3 linked regions of the Lepisosteus oculatus genome follow. The protein of the gene in region 1 binds, or shares a complex with, the protein of each later gene. Links are inferred from orthologs where the notes say so. Each region holds a gene or a part of one and is shown on either strand. Other genes may lie near its edges.

Region 1 (10,390 bases):
TAGTAAAAGCCTACACTCAGAGAGCAGGTTCATCGTGGACGGTGTTACTAGCTGACTGTGACCAGGATTCACAGAAGTTCTTAAGTGAAGTTCGGGAGGCACGGCATGACAAAAACTAAGCCTTTTGTTCAACATGTTCTAAATCATAATCATTCCTGGCATCATTTCTCGAAGGTTTATATACATAAGGCATACGCAAATCCCTTTGCTTTTTGCATTTTCTCTCCTGCATTATTAATTTACTATGGTTTCCCACCACAGTCCAGTTAACTGGCTTTTGTAAAAACTTGGCCCTGGTGTGAGTGTATCTGTGTCTGTGTCTATCCTGCAATAGACTGGTGTCCCATCCAGGGTATATCCAGCCTTGGGCCCAATGCTTCCTGGAATAGGTTCCCAGCCACCTTAATAAATTAGATAAGTGGTGATGATTATTCATCTTAATGTGGACCATGCGCCAAACAACAAATACAGAAAGAAAACAGAAGGAAAGGAAACATTTTTTTCTCATACAAGTACTTGATTTGTCAAAGCATGGAACATGGCCTGGAATGGAACAAAAATAATCTACTCTGACCTCCTGAAACAGCATTCATCAGCATTTACTGTATATATGAGCATTTAGAAGAGTCCAATTGTTCTTGACATTATTTTCCTGTTGCCTGCAAATTTCTGATCTTCCATTCTACTGTACATTGGTGGTTTTGGGGTTCCGCTTTTTTAATTCTTTGGGGTCCTAGGTTCCTTGTTCTTTGGTCCCTCAGCCAAGCCATATAAGCCAAATTCAACAAACATCCAGAAACATGTTAAATTGGTGTGTGCTGATACTCCTTGTGAACCAGAAATATGTCTTAGATACACCAGGATCTGGAGAATGAGCTTCAGTCAGCCAGGGTAACCATCTGTTGTTCTATGTATTGATGAATTTTCAATCTAAACTGTAATTTGCTCTGTGTATCCATTATTATTGCTTGTTCAAATAATTCTAACAAATTGAGTCCAATCGTTTATAAAACTTTTCAAATTGTTGATACTATTTCCATACAGGTGATCCTCAGGTTTAACTCTAATAATCTTTTGAATAACCTTACATTTAATAAATGCCTGACATCAATTTACTTATAATTACTTGATTCAGTTTTCTCATGCATTTTATGGATGGAGGCTACATTAGCAATTCTACTACAATCAGGTATGACTCCTGTCTTGGGACAACTGTTGTCTTGGGGTAAATATTGGGAGAGTTGCATTAATGGCTTCTGAATGAAATATATTGATTCCTTGAGTATGATTTGTTCAGTCTTGATTGTTTGAAAAGACAATATATATATACAGTATGTACAAGCATTTCCTTTCCTAGGCAGTCCAGCAAACTGAGTAAGAAAACATTACCAAGTCTACCATTTCACTTTCAGCTGCTGACATTTCTATAGGTTTTCACCAGTCTACAGTATGTGGCAAAAGTTGAGGTCTTCCATTAAAACAACTTCTTCTTTAACATGTTGATTCTTAATTTCATTATACAGTATTGAACTGTAATCAATATCTGCATTTGGTGGTCTATTGCATACTCCTAGAACTATACCTCTGGAAATTGTAGGTTCCGAGACTCTTGATTCCCCTAGCTTTAGCTCCTGACAAGAATACTCTTTTTTATACATAATACTGCACCTCCACTCTTCTATCCATAATACTACATTCATCTCCATCATTTTCTATTAGCTCTGTTTCTGCGATTCCAATCTCATTTAGGTGTAATTTAGGTGCATCTGTACATATGTACATATGTATAGAAGGGCTCTGCCACTAAAAGATTTTGAGTTGTCAAGAATGATGAAGGGTTCTTCAGTATACCATGTCCTCATCGGTGTGTTGTAGATCCTGAAAAAAAAAAGTTAATTTAGCCCGTTTCATCAGTTTCTTTCCAGGTTGTTTTAATTTGTTCTGGATGGAAAAATATGTAGCATATTTTGCATTGACCCAATCAGTCAGTTGTGCTCCAGTGACTGGTGACCTTTGGAATGTTTTTAGCTTACATAATGCATACGAAGACCTTCCTCTTGTGCATGTTGTCCAGGCATTGTTGAAACCAGTCAAATTAGTTTACACGGCTCAAAACACCGTAGGCAAACTGTGGGATCCACCTTGAAGAATGACATGGTGTCTTTTCAAAGTTAAGGTCTGGCATCACAACACAAAACCCACCACCACATCACATTGTGAAGTTTAAATGGCCCTTTCGAGGTCACATTTATAGAACTGACAAGAACATTCTCCTAATTCTTGCAATTACAATTCTTACAAATTTCTCAATTTACATTAAGAAGTACAAGCCTTCGTTGTTTGAGTTCTCATGCAACAAACCCAGCACATTGTCAGAAACAATGCTGTGTCTAAATCTCTTGCAGTGCTAAATGTACTAAAAGAATCAGGCCTCTCTGCATGCCCTGATTCTAACAGTTCTGTACACTTTTGGGGTAGGACTGGCTCTTGGAGATTGTGATGGGTTTTAACTGTCCTGTCAATTGAAAAAAAACTAATTTTCTGTTAAATGCATTTGCATTGTCTGGGTTAGGATTTGTAAAGCAAACAACAAAACCAGTTCCCCTTTGTTCTCAGCATACATTTAATTTTAAACTGGAGTTGTTCCTAACAAGAGACAGTATTCCCAGTTTAATATAACTGTGGTTTGGAACTACAGTGGCAGGCTACACTTAATGAGTGACAGAAACCAATATTTTCAGTGAAAGAAATGAGATAGATGTTTCGTTTTTATGTGGTATTTGTTTGGACCTTTATTATTATCTCACAGGAAATATGGACTGTAGCCATGTTTTAAAAAAATCTCATTAAATCTGAGCAGGGCTTGATAGTACCCATTGCGATCCGTTTCAAATGCGATATTACATTACTGTCTGTTTAATCTACAAAGTGTGTACAGTTTTAACCACTTCGGTGCCTCAGTTCACTCAGGATGTTAAGTCTCCAAGTTTTGAACAACTTCAAAATTCTTTCATGACTCATTGCCCTAATCTTAAAACAGGAAAAGCTCACATTACACCAGATCACAAAATTTAAACTGTGTTTCAGAAGACTCTTTAATCTAGGTAAGATCAAATTACTCATTAGCAGCAGTTAGATCATTAAGCCTCTGTGTGCAGACAGGTGTGTCTGAACAGCCAGGAATGTGTGGAAGATTCTTACAGTACAACTTCATTATCACTAATTATGATTATTAATTTATTTGGCTGATACTTTAATCTTTAGCAATTTATATTTGCACCCATTTTTACAGATGTGTATTTTAATGGAGCAAGTCTGGTAAAGCGCCTCGCTGAACAGTACAACAACAGTGTCTCACCTGGGATTTGAACAGATAACCTACCAGCTCTTAGGCTCAGAACCCTTACCACTGCTTCCTAAATTTATCTATAAAATTGGGAAAGAGAAGTGGATTAAATGCTTTTCAGACCATATTTTGATAATTTAGTTGAATTGAATGCCTAATGTTTTGGAACATAATGGAGTACAACACACTATAGGTAGAAGTAGTTCAGGTGGGTAGCTGCATCAGCATGCGTAAGCTGCAAAGGAACAAGTAATAGGTTTATTCCATGCTGAAATGAGAGGAAAGAAAACACAACGTTTCAGGCAGTGGAGCCTTCTTCAGGTACGTTATTCATTCCTTACTCTTCCCCATTGGATGAGATGTTAAATTGAGCTCCTGACTTCCATAAATTAATTATTAAAGAGCCAATACCATTTCTGTACGAGTATGGGTGTTAACTGCGGTGTCTTGACTAAACTCCAATTTGGAGTTAAATAATCTGACCTCCCTATTAGTGACATAATTTCTCGGTTCTTGACCATATCTGTTGTGTAGTGGGATTGTTGTGCACCAGCCACGTGCACTTCAGCGGATCACCATCCTTATGTAAATCCTTTTGGGGTCTTTGAAAAGCACCATGCAGTTATGATCAAGTAATATACCTTTTGTTTAGTTATATTTTCTCATGTTTATAATTCCACCTTCACTTTAGTTATTTTGTAGATATTAGTCTAGAAGTTCACATACAGTTATGTTTATTAGTATCCATCTACAGTGCAGCAGACAAACGTAGATGGATAGAGAGAGAGACCTTCTTTCCTATAATAATCCCGTTCTCCTCATAAGGACCACAATAGTAGTACGATTTACGATTAACAAACGTGCAATTCTTACATTCCGCCCATAGGTGGCACCATTTCGATAGTTTTCAGATGAGGCTCAGCTCTTAGGCACAGAGAATACAGCGCAGTACTGGCGACAAAGAGCGCATCCAGTTGTTGGGTAATGTATGCTAATACAAGCACCTTTAAACGCTGTTCCTTTATGATAAACTCGTTGCTAAAGTCGCTTTTTAGAATTATGTAGTAGAATTGTGTTTTGCTAGATAATCTAATCAAAGGAACATTTATTTTTAAATCATCACTCGATTCCACGCGTCTTCAAAATCTTGAAATGTGCATTCCATTGTTACTGGTCTCTTACAAGCAACTGAAGCATTGGTAGCCTATTTTATATGTTTTTTTTTCCTCAAAGTTTAAAGTCATGTCATCAAAGAACATACTTTAAATTTCAGTTAAAATCTTTACTATTAAAGTTCTTCAGTGAATATAGGTGAAAGATCCAATATATTACACAGTACCTTTACATCTGGGGGTGTTTTGCATATGACCATACACAGATATGTACAGTATATACTGTATGAATGTGAATACGTTTCTGTAGCTACTCTAGAATCTATAGAAACATTTGCATTACATTCGTAAATTCACCGTAAATCCTAACGGACACGACTTGATTGGACGATCGAATTCACATACAGTACTATTATTATATTACATATACCGCAAATTTGTGAAATTGTTGGTGATGGGGGTCCAAATTATTTGTACGAAAGTACTGTATATTCTTACTGTCTAAACACATCACATTAATGATATAAGAAAAGTGAATTATGACAGGAAGTGGAAATTAATCTGACATATATTACTGTATATTAATGTTCTCTGAGTGTCTGATTCGTTGTTTGCGGAAAAGCAGTTGTGCTATTTTTAGAGGACCACTCTTACATGTGCATTAAGTTGGAATTACACTGTATGTTATTTTCTTATCAGAAATAAAAAGCGTCATGAAATTATGTAGCACAACTTATTTCTTACTCTTTACTCAAGACAGATTGAATAATAGAGATAGTAAAGAATATACTGGTTGGCGTTGCAGTTAAAATTCCTGCAAACTGCCTGTCAGAAAGTTATCTTGTAATGGGGTTAAACTCATTTCTTTGCCTCTTACTAGCGTCAATGGAGCCAGAGAATGATTCGAGTTTATTTTAAGTATCTTAGACAGGAGACCTTTTAAAATACACATTCTATCATTCCTTTTTCACCCTTCGCAGCGACATCAGTGGTCCACATCGCGAAGAACGCTATAGGCTACTAGTGAAGAACGGGCAGGCTCCAGGCTATACATTTCTTTTATCTTGATCGGTGAACAGCAAGAAAAAAGAAGCTAAAGGAGTCGAGTTAGTTTACTGTGAGAAGCAATAAGCACAGGAGAACTGCTTCCTACAGCTGTAATAATAATAATAATAATAATAATAATAATAATAATAATAATAATAATAATAATAATAATAATGGAGTTTCAGCCCTGAGAATCCAATACCTTTTCAGAATGTTCGCTGTTAGCTCTGGGGTTAAGGTAGCAGTATGACAGCCGAAACTTTAAAGCTTTATGAAAAGGGTAAATTTTAGGCTACAGTGGATGTAATTTCGCTAGGGGTGAGATAACCCTGAAACGCAGAGATGAATGTGTGAAACAGCATGAACATGCCCATGCGTCGGCTGAGCCGTTAGCTGTCCTTTGCGAAGCGAAATCAGTGAAATTATCCTTAAACTAATGGTACATTTCGGAAGTTATATTAGAAGCAGCGGTAATGCCGAGATACCCCGGTTAACAGTTGCATTAGCAGGCGAGAAAAACGCCTTACTACTAGTTTTTGATGTGGTGCCGCTTTTGGGAAAAAAAAAACTGGGAATTAATAATATCAAATGAAAAGGATAGCAGCGGCGCTGGTCCCCGAAACGGTTAATAGACTGCATGCAAATGAGTCCGTATGCTAAGAGAAGACAGGGGGTTGGGTCTGACGCTGTGCTGTGAGTAGAGTACTGTGTGCTGCCCGTGGTTCGGCTAGCACTGTGCCAGTCTAGCATTAAAGCTCGGCGGAGAGGGGGGAATATGTGTGTGTGAATTTCTGCAGGGAGGTTGTAACCCATACCAAGGAAAACGTACGATGGCAAGGCAAAATAAAGGCGAAATTAGAAGGGACTGTCTTCTAAACTGAAGGAATGTTCAACCTCACAGCCCGCCTCCTGCAAATAACCATTACAAGTCTTTTGAATGACAATTGACAATAAGGAACATGCTTAAATGCCAATATCAATATATAATCCTAAAGCGAGCAAGCAAGCGCGAGGCACAGTTATTGGTGTGCTGGAGCTGAATGAATGAACCAGCGTTGCTTTGCCAAGATTTTCCACGAATTCTGAAGGAATACATTGTGCACGAACGTGCCGTGTTCCGTCCATACCTGACAGCTAGCTGACTTACCGTGGGATTCTGAGCACTTCGGTGTGGAATTAACTAGGAAACGGGCATTTTTTGGAGGAGAGGAAGAAAGCCGCACAACGTAAATTGACTGATTTAAGAAAGAAACGCAAGCCCATCTTGATGCTGAATGGTGAGTGTTTTGAACCAGTGGACACATCGCATGTGCCGGTAGTATAAAACAAGAATGAATTTAGCCTCTAGTACTTAAGCATTTTGGTTTAGTCATGTTAAATATTATCGTGCTTCACTTACTGTACGGTAAATAACTGTTCCAAAACCCACATTTTGACTTAATATTTTTACTAACAATACGGCAACAAACTAAATTCCTCCGATGTGACATGTTGATGGTGCATGGAGTTTATTATACCAAGAACAGGGGGAGCTTTTGAAATATTTTAAGCACTTACAGTAACATTTTGGCATTCCAGTTGAAATGATTTTCTAAAACTCTCTGTTAACGGGATTGTGTCTTATTTTTTTTGTCATTTTCTCAACGCTTTGTAGTCTTTATACTTAGTATGATGCTGTGGCAAATTTTATTTTTTCTTTATAATACATTTTCTTTAAAACTGTCCGGAATACAGAATGTAATTAAGAATTTATTCAGAATGTAGTGTAGATACCCACATGTGATCATGTTCATGGTTTTGACAAGAAGGAAACCCCAATGTTTTAAAGACCAACTCTTATTTATTATTCGTTACATTTTACATTTTACACGTGAGTGTATACTCGCTTATCTGCCTGTACAGTAACACGGTTTTCAGATGGCATTGTTCTTTCTTAGAAATGCCTGTCTGCGCGAATTAAGGATTCGCGTTGTACTGTGGAAATATTTCACTCAATTATTTATTGGCTGAGTTAGTAACATTACATGCTATTTTGTTAACATGATATTTATTTTCTGCTAAATATTAAGACTCTGTCGGAAGTAATGTAATACCACGAGGCATTAATATAACCTTGACTGAGAATCTGCTCTTCAAACCAGTAAGGTGCTTCGAGGCAGTGAAGTACCTGGCTGAACTGTTCACGTTATTTGGTGTAGAAAGGTTTAGGATTCGGATTGTTTTCTGAGATAGGATAGTTCTGCCTGTTGTACAACCAATTTCTGAAATCGTGAAAGGAGCGGTCCGGCTATTTTTTAACACAACCTGAAATAATGCCTATCTGTTGTATACTGTAAACACAAGATTTGATTTTGGCTATTGGTTCCAGTGAATCAACTGGAGATGTAATCATCTTGATTCTTTGAATTAAGACCCCAAATTAGATTCCCTGGATATTTTGTGGTTAAAGATGAAGGCAACACTGCATAACAAGGACACATAATCACCGTCAAAAGAGCTGATATAATTTATCTTTGGTTCTTCTATGAATTGATTATGTTTCCCCCTTACACCTGATCCCAGCGATAAACAAAGTCCTGTGTGTTGTCTTTTGGTCCCAGACTCTGTAGGGTATGATGTGATTCCCTTTTTGCAAATGGAATCTGATGTATTGTTGCCAACTGGAATCATTCAGAGTTCCAGCTCCTCTGTTTCAGGACCGTTCATCTCATCTGTCGGTGACAGTGAAATAGCAGATGTACCCACAAATCTTCATTTTCCTGTATGGAGTAGTTAGGTTGCAAGTCGTGTTTGACACAAGCTCTGTAGATAATAAATGCAGTTTAAGGAGAAAATTGCTTGGCATTTGCATTAAAACAACTTCCATCTGCTGTGATTAGAAGAGTGCACAATAAGTGTGCAGTTTGTATAATAAACCCCTTTATCTTAACAAAGATTTACTAAGATAATTTTTTATACAATGCATGACCTCTGCACATAATTATTTAAATATCCATTTGCATCGTTAAACAACATTTTGACCTTCGACCATTGACTCACAAAAATTGAGTGAAAATTGCTGGGTTACAAGAATGGGCAAACCACATGCCAATAGCATATTTTATCACAGACACACAAAAACTTTGAAGTCTGAAACTTCTTTAGTCCAAAATCTCTAGAAAAAACTCCACTTTATTCCATTTTAAAAAAGCTCTAAAGTCTAAGCCAGATAACATAGACTTATCAGAACATCGGTGGGACACTTCTTTGAGCTTTAGATCTTACAGGAGTAAATATCAAAGAAAGCTTTTGACTCCGCAGTGCATCATACATGACACTGCTGTGTTTGAATATTGAACATGACATTATTGCAGAAACCATATCACTCAGATTTGGACACGGAATAAAAAATATATTTAAAATTGATCTGCTTGCCTTAAATTTATATTGTTGTACTGTATTATGTGTTACTTTACTGCATAGTACAGTATGTGCACGCGAAGCACACGCTCTGAACAGCGCACTGTGCAATTGAAGTTTGTAGCTTGTTAAAGAAGATCACTAATTTAAGGAATAAATCATTTTTATATTTTACTCTCTTTTTTCCTAATTCTTAGTGCACTTTTGCCCTCGTATTTCTGAGTGTACACAAGGCAAACGCAGATTAAAATTTAATCTTATCCTGAGTTTTCTTTACTTTTATTCATTTTTTATGACTTTTTTTCTTTGAAGGTACAGTATGGCTGTGTTTTCTCACCTCGCCAGTAATGCCTAGGAGAGTTAATAAATTGATTCACTCTTCATGTAGACTCTCAGTTTATTGGTGTCACAGACTGACTTCTGCACTTTTTAAAGGAGCTGTAAATTAGAAGGCTCTGTATGTTGCAGTACTATGTGAGCTCTTTATGGGCACAAACCACAGCACTGCAAAACAAACATCCTCTTTTTTATATGTTGACTCAAGACGGCCACAAATGATACAGTAAAAGGGGTATGGTATCTAGTAAACCAAAGCAACTGAATCTAATTTTCTTTACTGGAATCCTTCTATTCAAAAGTATCATTAAAAAAAATATTTTAAGTTCAGTTGCTCGACAGCCATTACTTGACATTTATAATTCTTCGGGTTTTCGCTTGTTCCCCTCAGCAAGTGCTAGAAAGTGCGGATCAGTGCTGTGTTTAGCACGCTTACTGTACATCCTTGTGTACTGTGCAATAAATTGTCTGTGTGGTTCCTTAAATGCTTCATAGCCCAGCCCTCAACAATGATATCAGTCTGCCATTCTGCTGGAAGTTGTTTCTTTAAAGGATCAGTTCTTAGAAGAGAGAAGAAAATAGGCTGGATCAGGAGCAGTTCTGGATCTTAAGACTGCAGACTGTTTAATCAATACGGTTAATGATACAAAGCTGAAGAAAATTGAGACAATAGAGACTATAAGCATACAGCTACTCCGTCCTGTAGCCATTTTTCTGTATTATTTGGTACTTAAACTCATGCAAACCAAATGAGTTCCTACCTACTCTTTTGAGCAGTTACATCCTTATCGTGTCGACCAGTTGCTTTGGTTTCTGTTCAGATGGTCGCCCCTGGTTAAAAGGATTTTGCCTACAGTGCCTTGATCTTAATCTATTGATTTGCTTATGGCAGTTCATTACATTAACTGTTTCCAGCTGGGTAATTTAGCTGTGTTATATTGTGGTATTTGTCTGTCCACTTTCCTGATTTCCAGTGGCATGTGTATTTTTTGTTTTGGGGGGTGGTGCTTTAGCAAATTTACAAAACCTCTTTCCCCCAGGCATAAACCATAAATTTGAACTACCAGAGTATTTCCTCCTCCATATATAGAAGAATCTTAAGATTTTTCCTCAACTGACTGCTTGATTTAAGTGAATTACCTATCACATG
Region 2 (9,976 bases), on another chromosome or scaffold:
CCAAAAGTCAGATACTTATATATCTATATAAGCTAGACCAAAGTAAATGGTTCTTATTCTATATTATCAAAGTAGTTTCTACTACATACTAAATACCTGGACTAATCTAGGATAAATCATAACTTGGATATGAATAAGAACAGCCTTTCAGAAAAAGGAAAGCTTTGATCAGGAAAGTGTTTTTTTTTTTTTGCATTGCAACACTAATATCTCTATTGAAAATGATGGAGTTGAACAGAGTTGCAGATACTTACTCTACAAAAGATCTTTGATAGCTATAAAGTGAAAAAACTTCACACATTTACTCCATATTCAAAGGTTTTCTCAGTTTTGAGGGGAGTGTATGGCAAAGCTTTCTTCATTATAAATTCAGGTTTAACATAAAAAACAGGTTTTCAGGAAAAACACTTGTTCTCATCACAAGGGTTTCAAGTGTAATAAAGTATCCAATTATACATTAAACTTTTAATTATCTGCAATTTCCCTCAGGGGATCAATAAAGTATCTATCAATTCACATATTACTTTGGCTTAATACCTTTTTCCATTGAACAAACAGATTTAAAGATAAACTGCCTTAGTATACTTCTTGTTTTAATGTAAGAGAAACAGAAATGTTCTCTGCACATTGTCGACATTATCAGAAATTCTTTGCCAATATTTAAATTCAATCCTCTGCCCAGCCATTCTTCATTAATTCTAATGAAAAGCCTCCCTAGTCTGGCAGCAAAGGCAGCCATTAATCTTTGAACTGTAAACTACCAGCAAATTCAAGTGTGAGGCCAAAAAACTACTACGTAAACAGACCAAATGGCTTGAGATCCATACAAAAAATATATCAGGCATAATTACGGTGAGATCCATGGGATTTTTTTCACCATAAAATCTTTTATTAAAAAAAACACAATATTGCAAGCTTTTATGCTTTTTGGAGCAAATGATGCCATTGAAAATGACTGCTAAGAGCACTGCCCTGCAATATTTCCAGCCATTCCCAAGGCACCCCAACACTATCTGAGGCTTTGAAACTATGGCAACCGAATAAGAAAGCAGGCTCCATGATTAATAGATGAAGATCCCAGTGACAATCTAGCAAGGCCATAACTCAGGACGAGCACAGATGCGCTTACATCAAACCCAACTCCAAGTGCACTTGCCAGACACTTGAATAAGGACAATGGATTTCCAAGAAATGCATGATCACAAAATAATTTAAGACAAGTGGATGGCTGTCTGCTAATCATCTTGATACAGTACTTCATTTTGTATTTTAATCCCTTTACATAGTATTCTGAAGCTCTAACTTTCTTCTTTTAACACAAAACCTAATTTACAATGCAGATTTCAGTAGGAACTGCTTTTAACTATTTGGTTTCAAGATCTCTTGGGTTAAAGCATTTGAATGCTAACTTTTAAAGTACCCCGAGTTAGAAAGGCACTTTTGAGATGATGCTCATGAAGATCGCACTGGGTAAAAATAACGTGGGAAAAACAGATTCCGTAGCTTTACATTTTTAACATTATCGTCTTTATTGTAAATAGTCGTCGTCGGTTTCCGATTCTCTGTAAGTCATTAAACGGTTAACATGTTACATCAATTCGATAACACATTTCATAAAATAAGTTTTATATGAAACCAACAGAAATGCTGACCTTTTTCAAAGTAACAGATGTAAACCTGAGTGGCATGAATGAATTTACATTGGTTTACAGTTTATAAATACTTTAAGTGAGTAATTTATAATTACATTGCCATTTAACCTGGTGTCTGATCTCTACGCATTATTTACCTATGAAAAAACCCGAGGTAAAACGAACTGTGTTCAGAAAGGTAGTTATCCAAGAAGTATAACTGCAATCAAATCTTTGTTGAACCTATTCTGTTATGCCGTTTCACGTTTTTCACTTCCTTCCCGAAAACGTTCCGTTTTAAGTGCACAAAGATAGAAAGGGGTTTTAAGACTGTAATATAGATATATTTAAATAGCGATGTATTTCAACTGACACAAAAAGGCTGTGATATTACTACACACCTCCCTCGTAGGAAAGGATGCGCTCAGCGCCATGACTTGGTTACAAGGCGGCACACGTATTAGCGGGGGTCAATTTAATCCTAACACCGTTGCTGTCAGCGATTGTGCTCTACCCAGGGGATGTGGTTCATTTTATTCTTCCCCTGCTTACAAATGGCTCAAATTAATGTAACGAAAGAAAAAAACCCGAGACCAGACTGCAAACAGGCACTCGACTAATACTGTATATTTCTACGTTCTTTTTCCAAAGAACTAGTTCCTAAAGCATATGGTATTTTTCGTTTAAACACAAATGCCAACTCCTTAATTATCCACATGGTTTAGTGTTATACTGCACATTGCGACTATACATTGTGACACTATCATAAAAGACTAATGGTTCTGTTTAAAATTTCACGCATTTGAATCCTGACAGCCTCTGCGTGTATTGGGTCCGTGTACCTCTGGGAAGCTGGTGTTTTGTTGGAATATTATTTTACTTTAGTCCCTTAAAACTTCTTAAGGCAAGTGGCATAGTGTTTTGCCCGAACTTCAGAGTTGAATGCCTTGACCTAAAAGGTACGTTTTTTCTCGCCATGTTGGACTTCAGGAAAGCTGCGCTAAACTTTTACAAGTTCTGAAGTTGCTGTAAAATCAATAAATAGCTGAATCTCACAGACTTGCCCAATACGCATAAAATCTCTTCCAGATACAAGGAACCTCGCTTGTAAAATGCACAGTCTGATGTACACAGTATCAATAGCACTGACGCAAACACATTAGCAACTGGTTTAAGACTCCGTGTCACGGATGAAAATCTTCAGGACCACTCAGCGCAGATTACTCTAAATTTTATTTGGAAATATACATAAAACAAGATGAGTTTTGTTGCTCATCTTGTTTCAGGGGCACATAAAGTCACTCCGCTAACATGAGAAATCCCAAGCTTAAGGATTTATTTAAGATCACATATATACGGATACATTTCTGTAAACCAGCAGACGTGAGAACATGTTTCCCTTGAAAGACAAAATTGAGTTTAAGTGGAGATATGTTTTAAATTATTTAGTGTTATATTATGTTTCTGTTAACTTTACGACAGGACTTCACAATTTTATGAAGGCTTCCTAGTAGCTAACACTGCCAAGTTACAAGCTGAGCAGCTCACATTTTTAGATGGGAAATATATCCACAGTAAAACTGTCACTACATGTATTTTACTCTAGCAAAACACGGAGTGGAAAATGTCTCTATATTTAACTAAGGGACTTTGAACATAGAGTGATTACAAAATCAAATAAATATGAAAATAGCTTTGCTTTATACAAAATAAAGGCAGACCATTACAAATAGAATAGTCCCTGAAAACACATTGTTCGAATGAAAGAGAATATGCGATGCAGCCAGCCTTGCTGTACAAGTTGCATATTTGACAACGTCGTGTTAATATGCAAAATAATAATACATACACTTATATATAAGGAAAAAAACAATCCAGAGACACGCATGCAAAGAAACTTAAGAAAAATACTCTACCTCCTGCTCATGAATAGGCAGCAGGCAAGGATAGCAGAACTAGCTGCAAGACCGTCCCGTTAGTAATCCATTTAAGATTTTGCCTGGGCAGTTCCGATTTAAAGTATCTTTGTTCTTCGTATAACTACATGAGTGTTTAAGTAGAATATTTTCTTTTAGAAATCTGTGAAGAGTACGCGCTTTTGTCATACAGACCGTGAGGGAGCTTTGAACAACAACTTTTGTTCTTCAAGCGAGAAAATCCAGAAGAAATCCACTTTCAAAGCCAATGTTGTTTAAATCCTTTAAGGAAACCGAAACAGAATAAATCTTGCCTCCAAGAATTGACCATGTAGTGTCCCGAACCCTGTTCATTCGCAGCAGGCTAGCACACCGCTCCTCACAAAAGCTCCTAGTCATCCTATTTGGAGATGAAGGTTTCTTACTAGCGCACACCGATCCCAGCTGTCACTCGCTACAAATGGGGAGGAGTTAAATTCCAGACTGGATCACAGTCATGTGGATTTGGATTCCTTGTGCTACCGTCCATACAGTATTTACCAAATGTTTACTTGAACGGAACCATAACGTCTATAATTTAAAAAAAAAATAGAAATAGAGAGTGAGTTTTACTTAGCATTACTACTTACATTATTTTTATATGTTCAATAATTCAATGGTTTTTTATAGGTAAACCTTGTTTTACCCTGATGTCCTGGTTGTGTTGTCGTTAAAATGGGTTAATGATGCGTAAAATGCACCTGTCTCACGTGCGCAGTTTCTAGGAAGGAACCAACAATTCAGTAGGAAACTAAAATATCTCCTCTACAGTTTTACACATGGTAAACAATGTGGCTTTATAAGTTTCGTATACTTATTGAAACGAAAAGCAGACGAAATGCAGTTCTAGGCGGCTAAACTGTGGTCTTTTAAACTCTCCTTTGTCATGGAGGAAGAAACCCAACTCCGGTGGGCTGGGATTTTCCAGGCACAGTGTTTCTAATCGCCCTGATCCCCTTAATAGCCAATCAGTTCTGTGAGGGAAGAGGAGAGCAAATCCTTTTAAAGTTGCTGCTTCGGTATTGCGATTTCAGTTGTGCTGAACATGGTTTGTTTTTTGTGCATAAACCCATGTTTCTTAAGGAACTATGTTCTGCTGCTCGTTTAGCACACTGTGCGATATTTGTGGTACAAGAACTCTCGTTCATACAAAATACATCTCCAGAAATCCCTCTCAATTCTTCAAAGTCGCAATTGTAAAGGGATTACCTCTATAGCAATCTATCTATAGGAGTAATGACGAAGCGCACGGATGACAGGCTTGGCAGGCTGTAATACAGACGCACTGTTTTACACGACAGGTGATTTTGTACACAGTGTTGAAGACCGAAATAGTTTATAAATGATTCATTTCTAAAATGATTAATGGGTGAACAGAAAGTGATATTATTAATTTCTAGTCAATTAAAAAATACTCAATTGAAGTAAATAACAATAGTAACTACTTACAAAATTTAATTCAGTTTTCTTATTTTTGCTTATTTTTAGCCAGCAAAAGGTTTGCTAAAAATTGTTTCTACATGATTGTTGTGTCGTAGATGATTAATGGTACCTGGGAGATCATAATATAAGTTGAGATACGTTTTCATCAGGATATCAATTGATTTATAACAAATAACGATTTAATGATTTTTTCAAAACCCCTGTTATATGTACACGTGAGATTATCGTATCACTAATCAGACAAAAACAAACGCGAAACCAATGTAGCCAGGCTGCTTTCTATTTTATGTAATTTCGTTTAAAATGTAATATATAAAGTATAGAATATAACGGGATGTCACATAACCAGCCGTTGCAACTGTAGTCAATCGTGGGTGATTAGGAGATGCAGAAAACTGCGGAAGAAAGTGACATGGATATTAATGTATCCTTCTTCTGTATCCTTATCAATATTTGTAGCTGCAATAAAAAAGTAAACAGAAATCCTGGATACAGTATATAACAGAAAATGTGGAATTTAAATCCAAGGTAGTTATATTTAAGCCTTTTATTAATAAGACTTCATGTAGAACATTATGTTCACTTCTGTTCACCACACCACAAAAAGTACTGTATATTATAGCCTTAGAAGGTGGTCAAAATAAAGACACAAGAATAATTCCTGGTTTCGGGGGTTTGCCAAATACTGGCTATCTAAGGGAGTTAAATATCTTCAGTATAGAACAAGAGGGGTCAAGAAGGCATTTAATTCAAGCATACAAGATTCAAACTGATATAGATAGGTTTAACCATGGGACTGTTTTACAAAATTGGAAACTAAAAGGGAATTTATTCAGGATGGACACTGATTTCTTTACACTGATAATCGTGGGTATCTGGAACAAGCTTCCCAGCCAGGTTCTTGAAGCCAAAACTCTGAGCACTTTTCTGACACAGCTGGACAAAATTTTAGTTTCATTTAGTTACTAAACTAAAAAATGAGATGAAACAAATGGTCATTTGTCGCATGCACTCTTTCTTATGTTCCTATGCAGCATGTCACTGCCACTGGATTAGACAATGTTTCACTTGTTGTAAAGGCCACTTTTTATCTGAAGAATGCACTCTTTATGTACACTGATGGACGGTGAGGGGCATGCATGGGTGGGTAGTGATGTTTGTGAGTCTAGTCTACCTTCACTGGATAGTTATTTATCTAGAGGGCATGTAAATACAGGAACTCATTCACGTGGGTTTTGTACATTCGCGTTTGTATCAAGAGAATGCTTACTATAATAAAACTTCCAGAGCACAGGTTCCAGAACAATGATGATCCTTTAGTCAGCTTCCATACAGTATAGTATTTTTTAAGCAAAAAATTAAAATATGGTTTTGATTATATCTTTTAAAATACATATTCGAATGCACAAAAAAACAATTCTTTATTCTCACAGACTGAATTAAGTATTAAAGACAGATATCACACAGCGTCAATAGAAATTCTGAAGAAAACAGCTTCTGGACAGAATACAGCTGGATTTTCCCCCTTGTTTTGTGCAGTTTGCAAAGGTTGGCTGGTCTCATTTTGTCTGCTGGGGATGGGATTAGTGAGTGCTTCCCCACAAATGTCCTGCTGGACTTAGATCAAGATAAATGCTGCCCACGTCAAGACCTCAAAGTTGTTTTCTTAAAGTCTTGTCATTGTAATCCATTATTAGAAATGATTTCTTCCTGGAATTTCTTGTTTAGTAGCCACTGAAGTAAAATGATTATGCAGATGGATAAGATAGGTTTGACGTTCCTGGGCTGGTGTGCTGACCCACTGCCTTTAAGGATGTGGGCTGTGCCTCACTTTAGCCGGTTTCCTGATTCCTGATTTTTTCTATACACAGCAGCAAAGTTCAGAACATAGGAAAATAAGAAAGGTTAGTTACAAATGAGAAGAGACTATTAAGCCCATTTACTGTAGGTCACTTAAGTCTGAAAATTTCTTCCAGTTGTTTCTTGAAAGAAGCCAATTAGATTACTTCTTTCCAATCCTTCAAAAGTTCCTCTTTGTTCCAATTCTACAGTAGTTCCACTTGTGTCCTCTTTTTACATCTCACTATTGCTTCTGAATAAGTCTGAATAAGTTGGGTTGACTGTCAATATAAAATAATAAGTGTTGGCTAGGTTTGGACACATAACTTTACATTTCACAAAGAATACTATGTGAGACAGACAACAGGAATTAGCAATTAACTTGTATGTATTAAGAAAAAAACATTAGTGCAGGGAGGAAAAGATAATCCCAGGCTGTCTTCCACTATTAGAGAAAACAATACTATTAGATGATGAATCTGTGGGGTTGTGCAGCTGTTGCCTTCAACATATTTTGGTTGAAAAGCAATAAACCAGATTGTGTTGTTATCCGGGATGACATTGTTCTTCATGGAACATCTGATAAAATCTCATTCTTTTTTTTCACAAGTAAATAGATGCAAAAGTAGCCATATTACAGTGGCACAAAGGTTATATTGCTTGCTTATAAAGTATGTCTCTTTCATGTTGGCAAAAGCTCTTCACAATCAAAAACTCAGCCACACACATAAATCTTATTGGATGAAACTTCTCTTGCAGACTCTAAGATTGAATGTGATTATCTGGTATAATCGTACTAGATAAGTACACTGATATTTGACTTATTTACTGCTTAAGTTTTTTTCAACCTACAGAGTGGCTCCACAATGCCTATGACATTCTAAAGTACTTCACATCATTTAGTCTTGAGAGAAAGCTTTAGACCTGTCTTTTAGATTCACTAAATTTCTATCTGCGCTTTTCCTGTCCCACAAACACTTGGCATGAAATAAGGTCTATGGCACATTTTCATGACAGTGCCAGCTCAGTCCAGGGTTTCTAAGCTGTGAACTTCAGCTAGTCTAGAGATCTCTGAAGGCTAGAAACTTTGAAGTTACAGTTCTATGATATGAGTGTAAGGGAAAGAACATTTGTATTAAAAAATGTACACAGCTATGCATAGTCTGGAGATGTTAATGAAAATATGTGTTTTATTAAAAGTACTTGAAAGTAAACATAAGCTTTTATTTTTAATACTTCCTCTATTTGTCTTTCAGTGAATGAGATAACATGCCAATAAAAAAACAAAGATGATTGTGTGTTTAACAGCTACATATATAAATGTATTTTAAAGGATTTATTAAGTGCAACCATGAAAAAATAGTATTTATCTCACAATACATATCTATTTTGTACTGTAATTCATGTTCAGTTCTGGTGTTCTCAATGTCAAGGAAGAAAAGGTCTATGATGATAATTTAATAGCCTGTGTTTTATACAGATTATTAAGAGGTGGATGGCTGCAAAGAAATACATTGATTAATATGCAATAAGCAGTCCTAGTATTATTGTTTGGCAAAGAAAGGCAGATTATTTTGACATCTCATTGCAAAAATGAGTGCACCAATAAAAACTTTCTTAGTAGCGTTGGTGAGTAGTGGATTATAGGGCTAATGAAGACAATTTTAGCTACTAATGCAATGTAAAATTGTTAATGTAATGAAAGGAGCATTTTGGATACCTTCCCTTTTTAATTATGAAAAAAGACATGCTTACAAATGGATCGTCAATAGTTACTCACATCAGCTTACAATATTGTTCCTTATAAAAAGAATGAAGTCAGTTTTCATGTGTTTATCACAGTAAAACAAAACCAAAATAGCTTGGCTGACAGCGAGGAATCTGGCGTCACCAATTATCACTTTGTCTGGAAAACATTTCTCCTCAAGTCTCTACAAAATGTCTCTTCATATCTTAGGTTCTCCAAAATAAATTTACCAAGTAGATAGCACAGTAAAAAGTACTCTGAAACTGAGAAAGACTTAAAAGGGCTCCCAAAATAATTATAAGTCTCAAAAATCTTAAGTTTGTCTGTGTCTGTGACACATTGCTTTTCATCTGGAAAGAGCAGTAAACCTAAACGAAACCTTCCTAGAGTACGTTTTATGCTGGCTTTTCCTAGGACTTTCAGTCGTAACCTTCATTTACATAGTCATAAAAAAATCACAGCGAGTTGCAGCACATGCCCGTTACTGTCAGTTGTGTAGTGTGACACCCCCAGCGACTCAGTCATAGCGCTCTTCATAGCATCTACAAACTGGCTAAATTTTCTTGTAGCGAGTGGCAAGTCATAGGGATGGGCTCTTCTGTCTGCGACAGTCAACAGCCAATGAGTGCACAACCGGAAGTACAGAGCATACAGTGCGACTGTAAGGAAAGAAGGAACTGTGCAAATGGAGGAGGCGCCCGTCGTACTGTGGAGCCAGGACAGATATCTGTTTGATGTTTCGCGTTTGTCGTTTCGTGTTTGTTGTTTGATTACTTTCGTGCGTTGTCCCTCCCCTTATTCTGGTGTGCTCCACGTTGATTGGCTGCCAAAATGAGGCGAGGTACTCCTGCGCTGCAATATGGGATTTGTAACCGTGATGAATCGTGTAATTAGTCACTCCCTGCGATTCCTTGTCGTATAATTTTACTCCATGTAGGACAGAAAATGCAGCGAGATTCAGCAACTGCAGTCGTTAAAATTGACATGCTCTCCGACTAGAAGTCGTATCGAGTCCTGTAGTGTGACGCCAGCTTTAGTGTTACTTAGAACATTCGCTGTCATAAAAATATGTCCTTATGTAGGTTACCTAAAACAAAAGACATGTTAAAGACTTTTTAAAATTTGAGTGACATCTGCAAAACAAAAAAAAGGTGCTTATAACCCCCTGTGAGAAGAATTCAATAAGTTTTGCTAAAAGGAAAATTACTCATACGGGTAAGAATTAATCATTTAATTAAATATTGCATTCTCTACACAGGGCACTGAATTAATTTTACTGTTAGAGATGATATTGTATAAAATGTATAAAAGAAGAAATATATTTTCTTTTTTAAAATAAAATAATAATATTTACAATTTTT
Region 3 (9,799 bases), on another chromosome or scaffold:
AACTCAATTTGTTACGGGCGGGATAGGCTACAGCAGAGACTATTAACATTCTGACTATAATTGAGCACTGTTATTATACACTTGTAGTTTAAAACGAACTCTTAATGATATCCGAGGACAGAAATCCCTTTAAGTCTTTAAAACTATTAACCTTTGTCTCTTGGTGCTTGGAGTCGTGCTTTTAGAAAGTGACAGAAAAATGGTAAGCGTTAGGTCTCTGTGAAACATCACTAACAGTTGATTAGAAAGAACAACTCCTAATGACTGAGAGCCATTAGCCCAGGACCGGGATAATGAATTAATTTAGCGGGCAGCAGCGTGAGGGGGCTGGACAGTCGCATTAAGGGGGACCCGGGAGCACAAGACAAGGTTAATGTGCTTTAAGGCGACGTTCCGACTTGATAGCCTTTAGTTAACCGAGGCCAGCAGATGGAACAGCACCACTTGCGCCGAAAAGGCCGACAAGTTTTTAAGACAAACGATCCCGTGGTTTGGTTAGTTTCGCTGCTCTGTCAGTAATACAGCTTAACTTTCGTTTTCTTAGCTTGTGGTACATGCACGGTTCTTACTGTAAGTTTAAATCAATTTCACATTTCACAATGACGGGTGAATGCCGTTTTGGTATCGCATCATCCTGGATAAGGGCGTCTGCTTAACAAATAATAGTAGTAGTAACCTTCAAGGAACTTCACGTTACGATGGCTGAAAATAATACGAATAAGGCAAGTTGCTAATAAACGTTTCCTTGATTGTTGAATTAGTGTCTATACCTCTGTGTCTATTATTTAAACATGTATCCAAAATAAAAAATCAGATGTTTGTTAATACTTCTGATTGTAATAATTATGACCACAGTAACAGGATAGATCCCGATATTCATGATTGGTGTGTGGCAAAATCCTAAGTCAAAGTCCTAAGACTCCAGTTGGTTTGACAGATATAGTTGTGTTACACTGGAAAAGTATACTATTTGCTTACGCTTGTGATGCTGCATTCCTTACACAGACATCAGAATTCTGTAGGCTTCCAAAAGGCGTTTTTGGTGACACAAAAATAAATGAACCTCCTCTCCAGGCTACATGACCTATATATATTATAAAGTAGACAGTATCCGTTTAGAAAACAATGCAACCCACAGCTTTTAATGAAAATGAACCCTGTTTGGGCATAGAAAACCACTAAGCACTTAGCTACCACAGAAAAGTTCCGCAAAACTGAAAATGGATCGTTCCTGTATCAAGGGATCAGATACATCGCCTTTAAACTTGGTCACTTGCACTTTCATAAAGGCTTTCGAAATTATTTTTTAATCATGGTTATTCTAGCTTTTACGAACTGTGTTAGTGTGAACGACGTAACTCAAACATACATAACGTTTTAAAAGTCATTCAAGTCAGACATCAGTCTTCGCTTACCAGTTTTGAAAGCTCTGGTAGTTAGGACGATTCCGGTTAAAAGGAGAAACACTAATCCACAATGAATCCTCATGATGAAAGAAAATATATATAAAAAACAGAAAACAGAACTCCTTAATGATCCTTGGTCGGGTATTCTTTCTTCCTGCTTGGCCTGAGCAAAGAAAAGAAAAGAAATGTCTCAACGTTGTAGAAATGCGTCTTTTTGTGTCTCAGGTCGCCTGCATCCTGTCATTTAGCTCTGATTTCCTCTCTCCTTCCCCAGACTTGTCCCTCTCCCGGGCGCTGGCGTTGCCATTTCCTAGTCAAGAAGTCTAAGCCAATAAAACAAACAAAAAAAAAGTCCCGTTTTTTTTTTCCAAACCCCCTTGTAAATGATGAGCAAGCCGAGAAGCAATCCTTCTGCAACAAGAACAAAAAAAAGGTTCGCGATTTAGCGCTGTTCTATCGCAAAGAGCGGAGAGGTTCAGCGAGGCAAACTCACATGTACATCCTCAAATCTGGCAAGACAAACATCTGTACAATGGTATTACCATTATAAGGATTTAAAGCGAGTGATACTCCCCTAAATTAAGAATACTTTTCACCCCCCTTTTACTGCGGTGCACTGGCTGGGCTGTTACAGCTGAATTCCCCCAGCGAATTACTGATTGGTTTGATTACAATATGCAAAACTGACCGGGGCAACCCTCCTCGTTAACAAAGAAAGGGTAGCGGCTGCTTTAAGACGCAGATCCGCTTCTGCAGATACGAGGCAGACACGAAAGTGACAGGACACAGGCGCACTTTCCGTCGATTCGCGTTTTGAAGAGCGTTGCATCCATCTCCTGCGTGTCACGAAACTTGCTAATCAACAAAGCGGGCTACCGTCTTTTAACTCTTTTGACAAGTAACGGATAAGCCTCCCCCCCCCCATTCAACTTTTATCACTGGTCAAATGGATGATTTAAAAACTTCACTAGGCTGGAAAATTTAATATGCGTTTTCTCATATAATAATCCTTAAAGTCTTCAGATACGACATGCATTATGGTCTGCGATCTGTAGTAATTGTTATTTTTCTTTGTTAAAAAAAGGAATGCTTTATATTCGGCGTAAGGAATACGGCCCTTAACGCTATTTAAATTTACAAGACCCAATCTTGAAGTCTTGTAGCGTAAAATTTTAATTCAACGTACTTTTCCACAATATGCTCATCAGTATTATTCTTAATTAGATAGGTTTATGATCGAGTCTATACAATGTCCCTCAATAAAATTCAAGATAAATAGGTCAATGAGTAGATGACTGAAAAATAGTGTTGTAACATTTGTTTTTTTAAAAAAGAGGACATGACACGAAACAAACTAAGGGGCAAGCTACAGCCCATGCTCATTCCGGCACAAGGGTCCGAATTAAGAATGTAAATTAAAAGATTCAATATTCGTAAAGCCAATATATAATCATTATTAGACGTCTTCTGGATATGGAAATAGATAATACGGACTAAACCGAAATACAAATCGATATATTGATGTCCTTTCGCAGAAGAATGTAACCAATTTTCAAAATGTAAAGAAACAGCCGCAGTCACATCAGCAAGCTATCGCTCAGTCCATTGTGCATCTCCATTCATATTGTACAACACTAGAAGCAAGAATAAAACTACTTCACCTGCTCAGGTCTACGAATCAATATCCAGTGTGAGTGTCAACTCGAAGCGGGAACCGTATTAATCGATTTCAGTGCTTGGGACACATAATAAAACAATCCTCCAGAGGGAGCAGATTTAACGAAAATCTAAAAACTCCAAAGGCGGTCAAAAAAAAAAAAGGAGCACAGGAAGGATCTGAAGACGGCGTGAGCCAAGCCACTTCGCCTCTTAAATATTTCCCTTTCTGGCAGGATCAGATAGCGCGGAGTAAAGCTGCTGCGCACAGATACACGCGCGCGCGCCCCACCAGCCGCTGTAGGTGCTGCCGCTGCTCGCCGAGTCTCGCTCAAGAGGCTCTATCGGACTGAGCAGAGGGTCTGCCGAAAGATCCGGCTTCGCATTCCTAATCGCCTCGACGAGGAGTGAAAACTGCCCATTAAAACCAAGCCCCCTCGGAGGGAACTTGAAGAAGAGGGCAGTCGTCGTTGCTTTCTTCCTCCGAAGAATGAAACGAAGTTCTCCTACACGTCATTGCTTTTGTACGATGTGCGAGCGCCGGAAGAGTTCGCGGTGTGTCTGCTGTAGCCGGCTCGGTCACACCCCTTTATGCCGGCTGGGATTGCCTCCGCAAGCCGGGGTCTGACAGCAGGTTTGCCAGACACGCAGCGGTAGCTAGCTGGGTGACATTGGTGCTGCAGTTGTCAAAAATGTCACTGTTTAATTTATGCGCTTCGTGGTTGTTTTTTTTTTTTGCCACATGATAATAATAATAATACTCTCTGAAACTTCATTGTCATTGACTATAGGTCAGCAGTTTCTCATACACGCGTCTCCTTACAAAGGCTGGTGAATGTACAGTTAAATCCTCTGCGCTACGAGTATAACTTCGAGTTCATCAGCAGCGGCTCGTTCCACATTTGTTTTCGCATTTTAGTCCTTCGGAAGCAGTTGTGTGTAAACATGAGACTATGAAAAAAAACCAAATTATTATGTAACCAATGAATAATGTTTAACTCCAGTAGGGATTTCAAGCTTTATTCGGACATAAACTTCCACTACACAGCTTTACAGTTGGTAAAAAGGTATGTCTGTTCCCATTACAATATTTAATGTTTCACACATGCTCCTATCCAAAACAGATATATGTCAGACAAGACAGATGAAAAGTATTCAAAGAGTAAAACAGACCCAAGTATTTCATGATTGTAGAAGAATTGCGGACTCCTTGGTTTACTCAACTACCTTAACAGTGACAAAAGAGTTTGATCGAAGTTGGATATTAGATTGATGCAAGTGCCGCAGTCTTTAAGATTTTAGCACTGTGAAAACAGGAATCTGACCCATATCTGTACCATTAGCGAACTTTGGTTTTCAGTTAAGCAGTGCGCTGTTACGGATCTTATTTTCCTGGTATACGTGGACATACGATTATTGCATTTAAGTATGAATAATGAAATTCCAACACAGGCAATAAAATTATATGGTAGACAATGCAGTTGTTTTTATGATCGGGCTTTAGTTAGCTGCTTAAGAGTTTTGTATAATTATTTAAGGAAAGCACACAATTACAGCAACACGCTTCAAAATTACAACAGCAGCACAAAAAACCGCCTCAACGCTACATCTGATAGCGTCAATCATTCAGGTTGAACAAGGGTCTGATTGCAACGTTTTGAAAGCATTTATCGCACATATCCACAAAAGCTTCCTAACAAGCCTTGCATTCATTATACAGTACGTAGTCTAATGCTTATGGTAACAATGGAAAGACCTGCATGAGACATGAACAGCAGAATTAAAATGAAATTCAGTCGCAGTCGTCGAGGTACATTTCAAGTGAAAATGTTTCTCAAATGAAATAGATTTCGACAGACACACACACAGACAAAACCATTTACATTCCATAAAAATTATGCGCGTTTCTATTCCCTGCTTTCTGGACACACCAGGGTAGATCCTAAAGATGAAAAGCCTGAGTTCCGTGGGTGCCCTGGAGACACCCCCTAGCCAGAGAGAGCAACATCCAGCCGGTAAAGATAAACTAACCAGACATCCTGACAGCATTCCAAACACAGCACAAACACAATTAAGGGAGTCATACAGGAATACCTCAATAGTAAACTTTACCTTTTAGACAAATAATAGAAATACAAAAGGTGATGTCATTCAGTAGGACTGGAAGACAACTTTTGTTTTCAGGAATATTGAGGCAAGATGTGTCAGACAAACACCCAGACAAAATGTTCAATTTGTCCAGTTGAATAAATATTTTTTTTCAATTTATTATGCATCTGACAGCTCAAAGGAGTTACAAACAGGCCCATCTGCCATTATTGACAATGTTGTCTGTCTTTAGAATGTAAAATTCATTGAAAACACAGAATATTCTTACAGAGCACTGAAAAAGGCACAAGACCAATGTCATCTTTGAGGACAAATGATACTTCTATATATTTCTATCCTCTTAGTGGAACTTGCAAGTAAGCTTTAATGGTCTATAGGTGTCTTCATTTTCAGAGGATATCTCCGAAGATTTGTTATACTTACAGGTGGCATTCCAGACTATTCTGAAAGTGCTTTAAACTGCTTTTGAAATGACAATCTCTGCGGACGAGTGTAGATTTTCAATTATTTTATCTGTGAGTTCCAAATCAACATGACGTCTCATGTTTCTTCGTGGGTAGAAGTTGAAAATATCCTTGTAAAATACTGTCAAAATCAGCCAGCAAGACTAAATCAGTTCATCTGATTTAGGTCTATTCAAGTGCTATGCACTAGTTCTGTAATGTCAAAGGACATGTTTTTTTTTAGCACAATACCTCTATTAAAATGTGATCAGCTGTGACTACTTATTATCTTAAATATCGGTGGAATAAAGTCTCCATTAACTATTGTTCTCATTTTTCCATTGCTTTTTTGTTGATTAATGATAATCCAAGAGGACTAAATATATCCTCATACAATAGTATTAATAAAGAGAAAAATATTTACTGTGTTTTTCTGTCAAAGCAGATGGTTATGTTTATGTCAGATATCATTCCATGAAAACAGAAACAAATATATTTTAAGTCCTCAACAGACACATTTAAAATCCAAAACAGTGCTAACCAAACACTCCAAATACTATTATTAGTTTTGTATTTGCCAAATCAAGTTAGGTCTGTGGAACACACGGTAATCCAACAGATTGAATATTTAATTCAGAATAATTTTGCATTCTCTAGGCAGGAGAAACATTAATTTAACAGACTGTAACATACTTCTTCAAATTAATCTATTCTTAACAAAATAATGACTTTTCAGGAAATCCATTTTCACATGACTTTGGACTTTTTGGTTGCTAATATTAAAAAGCCTATACGTGAACAATAGGATTGACTAAGTGTAAATTGACTTGCAACTGCTGTATCTGAAGGAACCAGAATTGTGACTGAACAGTGAAAGAGCCATTTAAAGGATTTGCTTAGACAAAATACTATCATGTTGAATAAGACCCTAAAGAATGATTAGTGGCACACAAAGGTAGACAATTCTTGAAAGTATGGTTTGAATGATTTCAATGTAATTATTTTCATGTAACCACCCCCTGTTAACATCACAGACACTAATGTACACTCTTAAAAGTTAAGAGGACAAAGAAGTTTGTGTTATTAAAAAGAAACTTTACAAAAAGGTAATTAAAACCTTGTAAAAGACGTTATATGAATAATCAATATTACATTCAACTACACTTAATTTAAAACAACATAATTAAGACTGAGGGTATTTGGATTGTGCCCCAACCAATGAATATGTCACACCTGTCCTCACATTACTCCTATAACGCAGAACTTACATTATACTGTTCTAAGGTTTGTTTGTTTTGTCTTGTTCATTCATTTCTGTACTTTTTTTCTTTTGAATTGCTTAATATTACACGGTTTACATGACCTTCAAGGATTGTTCCTGTATAACTTCACCTTTCATTGCATCATAAATACACACAAGAAATGAGTGTTTGCACATTACACTACTTTCAAGAAGCTAAGCTTAATTTGCATTGGCGGATAATCATCTTTTTTGACACAGTGTTAGAGTGTTCCATTAGCCCAAATGGAAATTCAAAGGAAACCTGTCAAAAGGGTCAAAGCATTCCTCTGAACAATAGAGGCTCTTAAGAGATAGCTAAATATATGATCCAAAAGAGGAGGTGTGCATGGTTGAGCCAGATGTTTGTATATACCTTCAATGCTCTGTAATAAACTATTCTCTATAAATGGCAATTGCCATTGACAATGTTAAAGATTTGATACCAAAAGAAGTCATACATGTAACCTTGCTAAGTGAGGTTCAAGTGGAGAGCTGTGTCATTGTGTGTTGGCTGCAAAAGACCAATAGAATGTAATTCCATGCTGAAATAATAGAAAGGAGAAACACAACAGCCAAAAACAAGATTTGAAACCTGTTTTTTCTTCTTTTCAGTGTGGAATTTACCGCTACCTTGCAATGTGATAAAGTTCACATACAGGTTCAAAGTTCTCTGCTTTTAAAGACAAAAAAAAGAAGAAATATATTTAGAAAAACAAAACAAGGAAATAATATTATATTATAGAGCACCTTACTCTTAAAAGCACTGTGAGATTATTCATGTCTCTGTCAAGATCTGTATTTTATGTACATTGGTAATTAAGCATTCATTTTTTTGCATTTGAATGTGTTCTAAAAGACTTGAGCACATCAACTATTATATCTAGCTTCAGTACTGCTAGCCTTATATACTGGTAGGTTTACAGGCGTGCAAGCTAAAATTCCCCTCTATTCATGTACACATTGGGGATTTGACTAGACTGGGGTCAGGAGAAGTACTGCCTGAAGCAATCTATCTCCAGTGAGATTTCAGTGAGGTGAAATGAAATGTGAATGGAATTAATAGATGAAAAAAAACACGTTTGTAGTAATTATGAGAGAAAGGAAAACAAACACAAATGTAAAGTGTTTTTGTACAGTTTTGGTGTGACAACTACAGCAGTGTTGGAGCTCAGTGAAAAGAAAAGATGCACAAATGAAAATCAGGCTTTAATTAGGAAATAAACAAGTGACAGTGACATTTAGTGAAGTGGTTAGGAACTATACATAAATATGCATAACAGCAAGAAAAAATATTTAAAGATTCTCTAGGGACACAAGGAAGACTGATGGATCCTGAATTAATAATGAGTGAGGGATTCTATGAGTATGTTTTCTGGGTTCTAATTAGGACTGCAATTTAAACATCTCTAACGTAATACATTTGCAGCACAAGCATTTTGTATTACAAAACTTACAAAACCAAGCTGCTGATTTCAAGATGCCAAATTTTATACTGCCCTTATTATTTAAATTAGGACTGTCAAAACAGAATAAATCCTCCATTTGTAGAGGAAACCAGAAGATCAGACAAGTGGTTAATTGTAAATATATATACCACTGAAAAGTTTCACTTTTGTTAAGTAAAGTTTCACTCTTTATTAATGCAATAATCCTCAAGCTTCCACTAAGAAACTGGATCCTCTAAGGGAAAAAAATCTCTATATTTATGTGTGCCACAAGTAACACAGAAAGGCAAATGTCTGAGGGAAAATTTAATAAACTGGGACAGAATTGGATAACTCACCAGCAATAGAAATGTGAACACTTAGAGTTAAGTTTTCGCAATTAGACATAATGTGCAGAAAGGCAAGGAAAGGCATGTAAGCATTTGAACTACAGTTCAGGTCAAGTTCAGTCTAGGAATCCTGAGAGCCGCCAATCTATCCACACAAAGAACACACACACAGAAAATGCCCCATTCGTATTTGCTTAGACTGGTGAGCCTGCTTGCAAAAGAGAGTTTATAGATGTCATCCCAGCATGACTTTTCTTGTCTCCTGTGCTCTGTGCCATATCTGTCTCGCCATGGAAAATCTAAATCAGGTCTGCAACCAGAACCCAGGATAAGTCTTCAGGTACTTATGTTGTAGCGTGGTGACTTTTCTACTTCCCCTGCTGCATGGCCGGACCTCATCTTGCTCTTAGAGTGCAGAGGTATCATGGTTTGCTGATCACTGTCTACTTCCCTTATTAGGACTCTATTCAAAGGTATTGCTGCTGTCTCTCTTCCCCTAAATAGGTGGGAAATTCTCTAGTTACAACTCACTGGCAGTGTCTTGCACACAGGCTGCTGCAGGTATAGACAAAGTACAGTGGTGAGCTATGTCTCTATGTTTGATTGCTCTAGTTCACTTCTTTTGGTCACCAGAGCTCCCACACCTTATTCTGTGTAGTCCACTTCTCAGTGTGAATACTAAGGGTGTGGTTCAGCTAGATCATACACCAGCTAAAGGATTAGCTCCTGGGTTACCTTTATACAGTTGTCACGGGTCCAGTTCTCCCGAAACCTGATTTTCTAGCACCGACATGTATTTTTTAGATCTGCTTGAAACATCTCACCCCAGCTCCTGGATATGGTGTTTTGTGGTCAGAAGAAGACTATGCTGCTTCAGCACTTCTCTTGGGCCTGGGTCTCTAACTTAATGAAAATCAGACCCTGTCCTAATTTATGCCAGAAGAAGCAGAATGACGAGACTGAACAATCATACTGAAAACTGCAAACTGAACAAAACAAAACTGAAAAATCGTAGCTATGCCGGCAATCACTGACAGGAATAAAGAATCAGGGTTGTGTCACACTTGTCACATGGTGACCTGATGTGACATGTGACCATCTATTTACATCAACAATGCATCCACAGTCC

What was found.
Region 2: the proteins of plxna2 (region 1) and sema6a are in contact, whole or in part, in a crystal structure (PDB 3AL8), measured with the Mus musculus proteins. The link is inferred for Lepisosteus oculatus from reciprocal best matches to the Homo sapiens genes PLXNA2 and SEMA6A. Residues at the interface, in NP_032908.2 of Mus musculus: Ala93, Cys94, Tyr95, Pro96, Lys155, Gln192, Asp193, Tyr194, Asp220, Phe221, Val222, Pro229, Ser230, Asp231, Leu386, Lys389, Val391, Thr394, Lys395, Ala396, Pro397, Val398, Leu407, Asp408, Ile409, Asn410, Gln411; in NP_061214.2 of Mus musculus: Arg108, Met109, Lys110, Gly111, Met162, Ala163, Thr188, Phe190, Leu191, Ile193, Tyr198, Thr206, Arg208, His212, Asp213, Ser214, Glu219, Gln266, Arg267, Glu270, Lys271, Lys393.
Region 3: the proteins of plxna2 (region 1) and nrp1a are in contact, whole or in part, in a crystal structure (PDB 4GZA), measured with the Mus musculus proteins. The link is inferred for Lepisosteus oculatus from reciprocal best matches to the Homo sapiens genes PLXNA2 and NRP1. Residues at the interface, in NP_032908.2 of Mus musculus: Asp273, Leu274, Phe275, Glu306, Lys341, Gly342, Gln343, Lys344, Gln345, His348, Pro350; in NP_032763.2 of Mus musculus: Glu78, Arg80, Asp81, Lys83, Tyr84, Asp126, Tyr127, Glu128, Thr129.

What each region holds. Positions count from the first base shown.
Region 1 is NC_090700.1:34,369,084-34,379,473, forward strand, and holds the start of plxna2 (plexin-A2), read left to right. Parts: upstream 1-6,226; 5' UTR 6,227-6,782; intron 6,783-10,390. UniProt on the Homo sapiens protein: Coreceptor for SEMA3A and SEMA6A. Necessary for signaling by SEMA6A and class 3 semaphorins and subsequent remodeling of the cytoskeleton. Plays a role in axon guidance, invasive growth and cell migration.
Region 2 is NC_090698.1:53,819,326-53,829,301, reverse strand, and holds the start of sema6a (semaphorin-6A), read right to left. Parts: upstream 4,006-9,976; 5' UTR 3,548-4,005; intron 1-3,547. UniProt on the Homo sapiens protein: Cell surface receptor for PLXNA2 that plays an important role in cell-cell signaling. Required for normal granule cell migration in the developing cerebellum.
Region 3 is NC_090701.1:39,058,859-39,068,657, reverse strand, and holds the start of nrp1a (neuropilin-1a), read right to left. Parts: upstream 3,844-9,799; 5' UTR 3,068-3,843; intron 2,053-3,067; exon of another isoform or gene 1,900-2,052; intron 1,818-1,899; exon of another isoform or gene 1,570-1,817; 5' UTR 1,489-1,569; coding exon 1,416-1,488; intron 1-1,415. UniProt on the Homo sapiens protein: Cell-surface receptor involved in the development of the cardiovascular system, in angiogenesis, in the formation of certain neuronal circuits and in organogenesis outside the nervous system. Mediates the chemorepulsant activity of semaphorins.